Caenorhabditis elegans: one gene and its partners. The protein of the gene in region 3 interacts with the protein of the main gene of each other region in a pairwise test. Each region holds a gene or a part of one and is shown on either strand. Other genes may lie near its edges.

Region 1 (4,338 bases), on a different chromosome or scaffold from region 3:
TCGCTTTTTAAATCCGTATACACTCTTTCTTATGCTTTTGTTTTTTATGGAAACGTTATTTTTTGCTAGAAAGAAGTTGTTTAACAATTATTCGAGAATCACCACTTTTCTTTTTTTTATGCAGCAATTTTCATCCGGTTTCATTTTTTCATGATCGTAAGTTTTCTATCACCCCGGGTGAACCTTTTATTTAGATCTTTTAGTCAATTTTTTCTGGCTTAAATGCACATTTCCTAGCGCGTCATTCACCGCTTTTCTCTTTGAACTTTTCTTCAAGTCTACGACGTATAAAAAATATTACTTTTTGTTTAGTTTTTAACAGCAGCAGCGGACGGATATCTAGCTTCGCGATGCAAAACTATACTCCTCGTATTTATTGTATGCGTCTATATTTCGTACAACAGAAGACCACAATACAATTTTTTTAAAAATTAAATCCAAATTATTTTGTTGGTAATTTGTTGCCAGTAAATGATGAAAATCAAGGTTTTCTGTAACTGAAAAAATATTGAATTTGGTTAAATCCAATTTTAAACGAAAAAGTAATTATTATGTTTAATTGTTTTTACAGTTTCTGAAATAAGTTATCAATTTACAGTTTTATTTTCCAATAGTTGTCGACAACACGGAAACGAAAACATAAAAAAAAAGAAAATGAGCAAAATATTGCTCATTGATGATTTGAGATCATTTACGGTCACATAAAACATATGAACTGATAAACTCTGTTGAAAGATGGGTAATCATTGTAAAGGAAGTGAAACTCCTGGATAAAAGTTTACGGAATTGAAGCTGGGATTCCAGTCAAATTGGTGGCCAGGAAAATCAGGACTGTTTGCAGAAATTTTGCTCATCATTCTTGCCAGTTTTCTTTCAAATGTGTATCTCTTCACGTCCTCAAAAAGTTTCCGAAGTTTCAAATAATCGAATTCAATTGTAAACGCTCGGCTGCATTTTACAATTGCCTGGAAATTATCTCATGTTGAATAAGGATTAAAAAAGTATACTTACATTTTCTAAATGTATCAAAGACAGAGCATGTATCAAATATGAATGAGCATCTTCCATAACTTTTTGGCAAACGTCACAAACTCTCTGAACATAAACACGTGATAGAAATAGAAAGAAGGTGAAGAAAAAACCCACCGGTGAAAACACTTCGGTTAGAAGAATGTGCAGAAGACTTCTTTCGTCAGGCTCAAGATTACTGTAGTCCATGAGAATACGTCTAGCAAGTTCAACAACAGATGAGACTGAAATAATTAAAATGTCAATTCTGGTTTTTTAAGGATTTTTAGTGTGTAGATACATAGTAAGATTCTTTTAGTATGCTGGTACATACCGTATAGTTTCTATAAGTATTACGTATCATTTTTCAATCTTGGCAGTTTGTACTTAAAAACTTTACAAGTGAAATAAAATATGTGTTAGTTATTTTTCTATAGAGTTAATAATTAATTGATACTTTCAAATGAAAGGAGATATAATTTTTTAAATGAAGTAGTTGGGTGCAATACCAATAGAGAATATACGGTTGTAAGCTTTTCTTGGTATGTAAATACACTTTTTCGACAAAAAACGTCTTTAATGTTTTTACATGTTCTAAGAAACTAAACATGCATCTAACCATACGATATCTTGTTATCAATTAAAACTCACGTGGTAAAACATGCTCCTCGGCTACATCTCCTCTGAACCCAGTGACAAAAGGACAATAGCTCGACGTCGATAAATTATTCAGGAAAGTTGATAAGTTAAATGTTATAAAAGTGTTAGATTCATATTTATACAGTGCTGGATTGGGATGTACTTCAGGCAACGTCCACTTCCCCTTGAATTGCGATAGGCGCTTTGGTAGGAAATCTTGGGTGCCGAAAATATCTTGAAGGTCTTCTGTAAATCAAATGGAAAATTGCTTCGGACATTTTCTGAGGTTGATTGATTGTTTATATCTTCAGACAATAGCAAACTTGTAAAACTCACGTATTGTTCCGAACCATTCCAAGAATCCCGTAGCGCCTTTTTTGCGGGACTCGGTTATTTGAATTCTAGTGGGGAACTTTAGTTTGCCTTCCAGGTAAAATTTGAAGACCGCTTCTGCTGCATACGGACCGCTGAAAAACATAAAAAATCACTCAAGAATTATTTTTTTAATTTTGTAAAAATAAAGGACGTTTTAAAATTACTTACTAAATGCTCCCGTTGTACTGCCAGACGTTGTAGATGAGATCACAGTCTTGGATCTGAATACCATATGGATAATGTTTTCTCGCTCTAGTTCTATTCATTAGTGTGTAATATATACCGAAAAGACAGGCACAAACACACTAGGTGTAAATCTCAAGTATCCCGTTGAAATGAGCTGCGTTTCCATAGAAACGCAGCTGCACGGGATGCGCTAATCTCAGAACTCACACCAGAATTTGACATTTTTTAAATGTTGTGGACAACGACACCAGGAAGCGGAAGTAACAGATTTTATAGATTATATGTCCTCACTACCTGGAAATAAAGTACATTTCGAGAATAAAAAAGAATTACAAAAAAAGAAGTAGAAGAAACAATAAAAAAAAAGTAAAGAGTAGTGTCAGAATTGAAAAGAGTCGAGCCAGTGTTGGAAAAACAAAATACTACTGTTACAAATATGCCAAATCACATTGAAAAACTTTTCAACACTTCTTTGAACTACCGTAGTTTCTCTAATATTATAGTAATTTATGAAATGCTAATTTTTGAAAAATGTTTACCTAAAATAGTTTTCAGAAACTACTCTAATTATGTTTTGATTATTTGAATTTGATATATTCTACGTGTTAAAACGTGCAAAACAGTTCTGAATTTCTTAATTAGTTGCATTAATACAGAATAGCTGGGATACATTTCGCATGGACAAAAAATAAAACATTCGAAATTTAAGCAACACTAATTAATTTTAATGTAACAAATAAGAGTGTATTCTGAAGTTTTGCTAACAAAATATTGTGCCGAATTCCCCAAAAAAAAGCCCTTCTATAACTTAGCAGTGTTATTTGTCTTTAACTTTGTTTTTGGTAACAGATATTCCCAAAAACCCTAAAACTCTAAAACGATTCATTTGTAGAAACATTTTGCCCAGTTTTGATGAATATTTGGATTGATAATAATGAATGAGGACAATTTTTAAATTCTTACAACTTGCTTATTTTGAATAAGAAAAGCGAAACATGTTAATTGCCTAGATTTTCACCCAAAAATAGAAATAATTCGTTAAATTGGAGCACCATTTTCGTTAAGCTAAACAGTCTAATTTTAATGATCTAACTTATTTTTCTTTTAAAAAAAAGTACTTTTAGTAGTATGGGTAAGTAGTTTCATGTTTATGTAAAAATAAGCGTGAGCATTTGTCACAGGTCCTCGAAATGTTTATGCTCATTTTGGAAACATCAATAATTTTTTTTTCACAGTGGATATTGAATTTTCAAAGGTCTTCTGCAAAATATTGAGGTATTATGAAAGGACTACTCACAAAATAACAAATTTTCTCACCGGAAAAGTTGACCGAATATTACAACAAAACCACAGTCGGCAATGAATATCTTTAGATTTTATCTAAAAAGGTATTGGTAGAAAGATTCGATTGAACTGACAACAAAAAAAAATGAAAAAGAAGGATTGGGAATGGTGGTGAAGAAGAATGATAAATGCCGCCAGATCGTCAGCATCTTCTCAAGGACAGAATCGTCTGGCCAACATGAATTTTCCATGCCGCTTCTTTTATCTCGGAGTGTGTGTATGTGTATGAGGGCGGGGGGCAAAAAGAAAACAAAACTCGTTTTTTTTCAATGGGACACAAATTTACAGCATTGACTGTCTGAAAAGAAATTGGCAGCGATGTTCGCTTTTTGTTCACAAAACGTTTTATCACGAAAAAAACGGACTGTCTATTTTTTAGAAAAACTGAGCTGCATAAAATATATGTTCACTTTTGACGGATATTACACAAAACACATTTCAAAATAATCAAGAATTTTTAATTTTCTAAGCCGGTTTACCAAGATTACATTAATTTTCCAAAAAAAAAGAATTGTTGCTCTAAATTAAACCGAAAACACTTTTTCAGAGTTTTAAGCGTTCTACTGTTCAAAATTTTATTTAGCTAATCATTAGCTTAGCAACATTGATTAAGTTGAGGAAAGGTGAACATTCATTGTAAAAAATTACGTAAAGCCGGATGTAAAACAATTAGAAAACGATACAGCGGAGTAGCAAATGCTCTTGCTGTTGTAACACGGGGTGTTTTGAAAATGACTTGGTTTGAAAGTTTCAGTAATTACGGTTTCATTCGTTACTTGTGTTTTA
Region 2 (5,832 bases), 2.8 Mb from region 3:
GCTATTCTTTGTATCAAAGATTTTCGAATGACCATACTTTGTAAATCTCGTAGCTCTAGAATGCTTGTGAAATCAACTTCATCTCGCAACTAACATTGATAATTGTATTTAAAAGTGCAACCAATAAAATATTCTCAAGTCGACTGGATACGTACGTCTCCAGAATTTATAAGCGGGTTACCATGGAGATGTGAACGAAGGGAACATGAAGATGCAGAATGAAGGACCAACGGCTTCATATTTCTCAATTCGAATTGTTGGGTGATAAAGAAAAGCCCCCTTTTTTCTGAAACATTTCAAAATGTCCTTTATTATAAAACTTTGAAACATTTTGAGTGATTCATCCATCATATTTTCTGCTGATTTACTTACGCAGCCATCAAGCCGAATCGTTTCCCATCTGCACGATTCCGTCAAAAATCCGTTAATTAGAGGGTTGGCAATAAAATGGCTTGACAGATGTCACACACCATTTTAGAAGCTTTCTTTGTCTCACTGACTGTCTGACTGCCCTCTGCTTCCTATCGTTATTGTTGCACAACATCTGCCACTCCACAAAGCTAAGCGTTTTCTATCATTTTTTCCCGCAAATTCTAAATTTATTTTCTGATGATTTTGAAATTTGAAACTCAATAAATCAATGTACAGTTTATTCCTACTTTTGGCAATTTTGGGATGCATTAAAAAGGTAAGTGAATAGGGTGAAGTGGGGGAAGTGATAATCAAATTCACAAGTTTCTCTCTGGCATGATGTATGAAATGTCATCCCAAGGATGACGGTAGAGTCCTTGTTTGAGTCGTGATTGGTCCAAATAATGTCCGATGAATCCGATGGAGCGACCGAGCACAAACATTCCATTCAGAGCACCTATCTCGATAACTTCTTGAGCTTCAGCTGTTGTGAACATCCCACTGTTGCGCAAGATGTCGACGAAGATGATGGCAATAGCTCCATCAACATTTAGAATGAGGTTTGGCTTCTTGGCAGTGGTGATCTTCTCAACTTCCAGAGCATAATCGAGAAGTGGTGTTTCTTGAGCAAACTCCTTTTTGTTCAAAGCAAATCTCTTGAGAATCTCGACACGCTTATCAGGGTTATTGATCTGAAATTATTTCATCAATTATCAAAAAACTGTATTTTCTTGAAACTCACGCTCTTGACACGATGGCCGATACCCATAATATGAGTTCCACGTTTGCGCATTTCTCCGACAAACTGATTTGGAGACCACCCTTGATCGAAAGCCTCAGAGAATTGACGAGCAGCTCCATCGAGAGCACCTCCGAATCGGTCACCGATGGTGAGGAGTCCAGATGTGAGAGAAGATATCAAGTCCTTTCCAGCGCGAGCACAGACGATAGTATTATGAGCACCAGAAACTGCTGGTCCGTGATCAGCAGTGAGCATCAAACAGATCTCTATGAACTTGTTGGCATGTGGAGGGAGACGTTTCTGAAAAAGGAAAATATACAAGGCAAATTAGATTTTTTTTTGAACCTGGAACCACAGCAAGCCTAGAACTCCACCGATTCCCATATCCGACTCGAGGACTTTGGTGATTGGGACGCCAGCATAGTTCAATTCTTCTCCGCGTTCGTCACAAATAGAGGTCATGAAGGAAGCTGGTTTGCGAATAAGCCCGAGTTCCCGAGCCCAGGCATAGTCCATTGGAACTGCAGGTGGTGGAACTTCCGGCTGTGGAACGATGATTTCAAGTCGAAGCAATTCTTCATAAGTCTGACGAATCTTGTTTCCGAGGTCGTCAAACGAATCTGGAACCAAAGCACCAGCAGTACGAAGAGCTGTATTTTTGCATGCAGCAGTTTCTCCTTGTCCATTTGCAGAAGCTCCAGCATGACCGAACTGAACTTCTGAAGTAATGTGATCTGCACATGTTCCAATGCACCAAGCAATGAGAGGCTTCGTGATTTTCTTTTCTTTCAATAGCTCGACAATACGATATTCTTCTATACCTCCAACTTCTCCAAGGAGGACAATCATCTTAACACGATCATCGTGTTGATATCTCATAACGTGGTCGGTGTACGTACTTCCTGGATAGCGATCCCCTCCGATAGCAATTCCTTCGTAAACTCCGTTGGTATTCTGTGAAATAATGTTGTTGAGCTCGTTCGACATTCCTCCTGAGCGGGACACGTAAGCGACACTTCCAGGACGATAAAGTTTCGAAGCAAGAATATTATCCATCATTCCTCCGGTATTTCCGATCTTGAAACATCCTGGCTTGATTCCTCCAACAGTAGCAGGACCAATTAAGGTAACACCCTTATCTTCAGCAATTTTAAGCAATTTTCTTGTTTGATTTTCTGGAACTCCTTCGGCAATAATTGCGATAACCTTGATTTGTGTAAATTGAAGAGCCTCCAGAACAGTTTCAAAAACTGAACGCATCGACGCGAACGTGACCATGACAGTGGCATCTGGATGACTCGCGAAAGCTTTTGCCATAGATTTGTAAGCAGGAATAAGGATTTCTTTCTGTCCGAAATAATACTTTTGCTTGTTGTCTCCAGTGAACGGATAGGTTGAAGCGACGACTGATGGGGAGTGTCTTCTGCAAACAAAATCGAAATCAAGCATTCCTTGAATAGCTTTGTGTTGTTGTCCCCAAATGATAGCCTTTGTGTCGTTCTCGAACAAGCTTTGATGAAGAGGGTGCCTCTTGGCGAGAGGATGTTCGATTGTGGAAGTGTTCGGAGCTGGAGATGCTGGAGGACGTTCCGTGCCTGCAGTCTGAAAACAAAAACTAAATTATTTCCTATGAATAATTAGAACATACGTTTCTTTCTGGGCTCAACAAAAATTGTCCGGTGGTTTGAGGAGCCGTCGGGACTGTTGGCATTGGCTTCAATCCGAGCGCAGCTCCGACAATTGCAGTCATATGAGTTTCCGGTCCAAATACATAAATCGGAATTTCTAGTTTTGTGGCAGCATCCTTGACACGTCGCAGTCCTTCTTGGTAGTTCGGACCACCACGTCGAACGTAGATGGAAACATTATGTTCCTTGAGCTTATCAATGAAAGTTTCGAACGCACGAACGATTCCTCCGAATGTTTTTGCGACATTTGTGAAGTTAGCAATGGATCCACCAATGATGAGAACCTTACCATCAGGACGTGGAGCACCTTCTGTCATGACGGATAAAATAGTCTTGGCGTACTCGTAAGTTTGAGCTTCCGATGGATCTCCAGAATATTCTCCGTAGTTAGCAAGTTCAGATGATCCTCCAAGATCACAAACAGTATCGGTAAACACAACTGATGCTCCTCCACCAGCCACCATGGTCCATACGCGTCCCTTTCTGTTAAGAATAGTCAGCTTCAAAGATGCTCCAGTCTTCGCATCCATATCAGAAATGTATTGCTCCTCCGAAGTCAAATCACGTCCAAATGGTGCCGGGAACTCCAGAGTCGGAGCGATTCGTGCAGAAGCATTCCGACCGCTCCATTTATCCGAGCACAGAAAACTGGCAGTCTCGTCAAGCTTTGCAGCCAAGTCCAAAATATGAATCTTGCCATTGGTGAGAACAAACGGATTGATCTCCAAGTATGTGAAGTGAAGAGCTTTGTAGGCTTCGTATAAGCTGCGAACGAACTTTCGGATATCATCCTTATCACTACATGGCCCGAGAAGCACGCCTAGTTCTCTCTCCGAAATTGACATAGCATTGTCATCAAGTTGAACTGGAACATGGACTGATCTGGCCTGAAAATATGAAAATTTTTGAGAAATAATTACCTACTACAAACCTTTTCCTCGACGTCTCCAATATCAACTCCTCCCTGCTCATAGAACATAATAACATCGCGACAGCGTTCGCTGTAGATCGCGATGTACATTTCTTCATTTTCAGTATGAGCACAAAACGGCTCAACAATAAACGTGTGCAATCTTCCCTCCGTTTGGCCAACTTTCACATAACTGTTTGCCGTCTTGCCGAACCAAGCTTCCAGCTCTTTAGGAGACCCAATCTTAACAAGACCGAGCTTTCCACGACGCTTGATAAGCTGATCCGGCTTGATAACACCCTTGTTGTCTTGTGCAAGCCATTCGTACTTGGCGGCGACGTCAGAAAACTTATCTCCGGCCTTCACGTGAAAAGCATGTGGGGCACTGACAATTCCGGTCGACTCGAAATATTTGTACAAAACCTGCAATTGTTTTTGTAAATCAATCGAATAAAAAATAAAGCTTCATACCTCTTTTCCTGAGAGTTCGCTGACAGCTTTAGCCGACATATCAGTATGGGTGTAATAACCTGAAAATGGACAGTGTTTAATGGAAAACCGGCAAAGTCACGGATATATTGCGTAACAGACGGATGAAATAGAAGAGAAACAGATAGAAATCATTCGAAAAAAGGAGGATTGTGATGCAAGACGACACGCGGTGGCCTACAAAACAGAAAAAGTGCGCTCCTTGTAGCGGCGGAGGCGCTCGAGATCGAGATCAAACCGAATTTATACATATGAGAAAAAGATTTATCGAAAAAGTAGAGAAAAAGAACACTCTCTGGCGTTGACATTTGCATTTTTATTCAAATTCAATATATTTCACTTGTTGACAAGCCGAATAGGGAAAAAACGGTTGAGAAATTATTTGAAACTTGATTTCAGAAATTATTAAATAAATAAAGAAGAAAATCTATAGAATAGCTTCGAGGGAAGATTGTTTTAATTTAAGGTTTTCTATATTCTGAAATTTCAAAAAAAAAAAAAGTTTTAAAACATTTTCCGACGGCTCTGCAGTCACCATTACGACATATTGCAGAAACTACGGTATCCAATACAGTAAGCTTCTAAAGAGACCCGAAGAACTCGGGGGATGTCCAACTGGGGGGATTACTAACTCGGGGGATTGGCCCCGCCCACAGAACCGTGGCTTGCAATACGCCCATTTCTGCAACTGCCGCACGGTTTTAAAACTGTATTTTTATCAATAGAGCGAGGATTAACAAGAAAAAATGATTTTAAAACCGTGCGGCAGTTGCAGAAATGGGCGTATTGCAAGCCACGGTTCTGTGGGCGGGGCAAATCCCCCGAGTTGGTAATCCCCCCAATTGGACATCCCCCGAGTTCTTCGGGTCTCCTTCTGAAGCTTGAAAGAAGCTTCCCTTAGTGAAACTACAATTTGAAAAAACTGAAAATCAACCTACATCTAGCTAATACATTTTAGACCCCAAATATTTACGCACATGCATCAAAAATACATCATAATTTCGCGCAACTTTGGCTAGGCAGTTTAAAGGCGCAAACTGACTGTTTCTAGTGGGTCTCGCCACGATCTCAGTCATAGTGGTTTCTTCAAGTGCCAAATTTTACAAGTTTGTTAATTTGATGTTTAAAAATCCAGGATTAATTATCGAATGGGCGATAAAGGGGAAATACTGCTGAAAATTGCAGACTTTCCAGAAATCCAATGTCTAGGGACATATGTCCTCTTTTCTTTTTGTAATGTCTCGAAGCCGAAACGAGGAGAAACTCTTTATACATAACTTGTACAATACGAAATGGATATATAATAATTGGAGTTCCAATACTACGAATTTCTTGTCACCGGGGTCATGTACTTGTTTCCCACATTTTCATTTCGAATAAACAAAAAAGAACAGAAACAAAACAATTCTAACTTTTGTTTTACTAATCCACTAATCCTCAAAACATTTCATAGTTGCGGAATCGTTTTGGTTTGCTCCTCCGCGGGCTCTCCGAATACTTACTCGCATAAGTTTCCTGTTTTGCTCATGTCCTTGAGCACACGTATTTATTTCTATGTGAATGTGCATACGGGCGGTCCTAAAGATGAGGAA
Region 3 (3,017 bases):
CAAACGTTTGATTGATGCACACGAACATGATTATGAACTGAAACGGATTTTTTTAGAAGAAAAACGGATGAAACTGACAACTTACTCTATACACGTAGGCATCAGGAATTACAAGAAAAAGTGACAAGTAGATGCATATCTCGAATAGAAAGTGAGGACATGAGACGAGATTGAACCAACCACCAAAGCAGATACCATAGGCGTAATTGCGAATTAGTCCTCTAGGACCTTTTCTTGTATTTGCTATTTGTTCGGCTAGCTGATGTTGTTTCCAATTGCAAATCCAAAAAAGGACAGCTCCAGCCCATTGGGTGAGAGAAATATCATCAATTGACACGTGAAGCTGAGGTACTGTGAAAATAAATTACTAGAACATTTCAGATAAGTATCTTCTTACATTTGGAAGCAACTCCCTGTGTTTCACACATAATTGAAATTGGCAGAATGATGTAGTGGACTATCCCAACTGCATAGTGAAACAAGTTCATACGACTGTCCGAGTAAACACTGACAAATATTGTTTCATAGAGACGTCGTGCTACGTGAAGGCTTATGAGCAGGAGAGCCAAGATTGATGTGCTTGGGGTAACTGAAAACATATTTATTTCAACTTAAAAGTGTATAATATGATATTCTAATCAAATTTCTAATTTCTGAAAATTTGAGTCAAAGTTTTGGTAATTTGCCAAATGGTATTTATCTATTTTTAAATTTACGAAACGTTTGAAGTTTTTGAAAAATTTAAAGCAACACCACATGTTTGAAGCCCTACAGTGATTACATAAAATATTTGAAACATTATTAAAATATAACATTTGTAGAATACAATATTTTTGTTGTTTTACAAAATTGAGTAATAGACACTTTTTGACTGAAAATAAAAAGTTTAAGTTCTACTGAAAATTGAAAACAATGAAATTAATACAACTGCGTCGCGACTTCGCATATATTCCAAAAACCACTAATCAAAAAAAAAAAAAGAAAATCACTTTTTTTTTAAAAGAAAAACTTACTTGGTGGTATACTGTAGGATCGTGTTAGCGTGGCAAGAATCTTGAGAACCACTGGATGCAGATAATTAGGATTGTAGATTAACGAGTGGACAGTGTGTAGACATATAAAAAGTGTTAGAAGACCGATTGCGTAAAAATGCTTAAACCATCTGAAAAATTTCAGACAAGGATAGAACTCCCAAAGACTAACTGTACTCACTTTTTAGGTACAGATATTTTTTCTACCAAAGAGTTATCTTCTTGTTGATCAGCAGCTTTTCCATATGTAGTTAGTGCAGGTATCAATCGACAAACGTGAGGACATATGAGAGTAAAACAACATGAAATGGCAAGTCCAAGCGTAGATACTAACAGATAAAGGGGCAGTGCTTGGCGCACTTCCCAAAGTCTATCTAACATTCTGAAATGAATAATTGTATAGAAAAATCAATGGACACAGAAAAATAAAGTCAAAAACGGAAACAAGAAGAAAAGAGCGGAAATGAGTAATGGAAACATTTTTGGACGAGGGAGGAGCCGACGCAGAGTTTCTTTTTCTGAGGAGAGAATACGCCAAACGAGTGCAGCTGCAAGTGTGTAAGTGCGCGATGAGAAAGTAAATAGAAAAACCAATGGCAGATACTGGGCAGTTGGAGTTTTGAAAAAAAAATAAAGAAAAAAAGAAGTAAAACGTTTTCTTTTGATTTCACAGGTCGTTCAATGTAAAATGTTTCTAAAATGTTTGTCCGAGAGGAGTACATGGCCGAGAGAACGCGTGGCCGTGGCCTAGTTCTAGGAACAATTTTAAACGTTGATTTATTTATTTTTTGCGTCGATTTGGAACAAATCTCCGCATCGTTCGAGTTATAATTTCTCTCCTTATTTTAATTTTCATTTTTTCAAATATTTAGCAAGCTGCGCTAGATTCCTCCTAAGTTTTTCTCATTCGTTCGAACGATTTGTCATCACTTTTCTTCAGAGAAAATATGTCTCACATTTTTGATGCGTCTGTGTTAGCTCCACACATTCCTTCGAATCTTCCTGACAATTTTAAAGTTCGTCCCTTGGCAAAAGACGATTTCTCGAAAGGATATGTTGATCTTCTGAGTCAGTTGACTTCGGTCGGAAATCTTGATCAGGAAGCATTTGAAAAGCGATTTGAGGCGATGAGGACCTCGGTCCCCAATTATCATATAGTCGTCATCGAAGATTCCAATTCTCAAAAAGTTGTTGCATCTGCCAGTTTGGTTGTCGAAATGAAGTTCATTCACGGGGCAGGAAGTCGCGGAAGGGTTGAAGATGTTGTCGTGGATACTGAAATGCGTCGTCAAAAATTAGGAGCCGTTCTTTTGAAGACTCTTGTTTCTCTTGGAAAGTCTCTCGGAGTTTACAAAATTTCTCTCGAGTGTGTTCCTGAACTTCTCCCATTCTACTCACAATTCGGGTTCCAGGACGATTGCAATTTTATGACTCAGCGCTTCTAAATTTCACACGTTAATTCATTGATTATTCTGCTAATGGGGTCTTGTAATATGGTTTTTACGCATAATTTGTTTTATCGTTTGGTCTGATTTCTTTCATGTATTTATTGAATAAAGTTTAGATGGAAACCGAATTTGGATTGACCGAGTATGCCAGTGAGCATACAATCACTCCTGTGCCCTGCCTACTGAAAGAAATGTACAGTGACTTCATCGTTCAAGAAATTTTAGGTTATTTAATCAAACTCAATTAATGTTACTAGAATTAATTTTATTTTCAGCCGACCACACAGTTTTGGCCATTCCATCGCCAGATGTTGTCCTAGAAAGTACTGGGTCCAAAAAAGAAGACATTGAGATCGAAGAGTGTGTTGCTAAGCCAGATTGCATCTCAGAAGAGACATTAGCTGCATTAAATGACCGATTCTCTACGAAAGGAGATCCCGTTCTTGTAAAAGTTGACGATTTGAGCAAGGAAGATCGAAAAAGCATTCATCATTTCATTAGAGAGCGGTATGCTGGAGTTTTAATCACCGAAACGAAG

What was found.
Region 1: the proteins of gna-1 (region 3) and C06E2.1 interact in a two-hybrid assay, tested with the Caenorhabditis elegans proteins (one large-scale study listed by BioGRID).
Region 2: the proteins of gna-1 (region 3) and acly-2 interact in a two-hybrid assay, tested with the Caenorhabditis elegans proteins (one large-scale study listed by BioGRID).

Annotation. Positions count from the first base shown.
Region 1 is NC_003284.9:8,872,347-8,876,684, forward strand, and holds C06E2.1 (GYF domain-containing protein), read right to left. Parts: upstream 2,503-4,338; 5' UTR 2,431-2,502; coding exon 2,416-2,430; intron 2,244-2,415; coding exon 2,191-2,243; intron 2,115-2,190; coding exon 1,984-2,114; intron 1,894-1,983; coding exon 1,660-1,893; intron 1,254-1,659; coding exon 1,147-1,253; intron 1,096-1,146; coding exon 1,012-1,095; intron 966-1,011; coding exon 744-965; 3' UTR 587-743; downstream 1-586.
Region 2 is NC_003283.11:13,114,937-13,120,768, reverse strand, and holds acly-2 (ATP-citrate synthase), read right to left. Parts: upstream 4,282-5,832; 5' UTR 4,262-4,281; coding exon 4,223-4,261; intron 4,175-4,222; coding exon 3,773-4,174; intron 3,729-3,772; coding exon 2,802-3,728; intron 2,756-2,801; coding exon 1,499-2,755; intron 1,454-1,498; coding exon 1,154-1,453; intron 1,104-1,153; coding exon 729-1,103; 3' UTR 637-728; downstream 1-636.
Region 3 is NC_003283.11:10,319,113-10,322,129, reverse strand, and holds gna-1 (Glucosamine 6-phosphate N-acetyltransferase), read left to right. Parts: upstream 1-1,978; coding exon 1,979-2,476; downstream 2,477-3,017. Other genes in the region: srdf-3 (Polyprenal reductase), read right to left, coding at 1-37, 86-351, 398-589, 1,014-1,162, 1,213-1,412; Putative pseudouridine synthase B0024.11, read left to right, coding at 2,596-2,704, 2,755-3,017.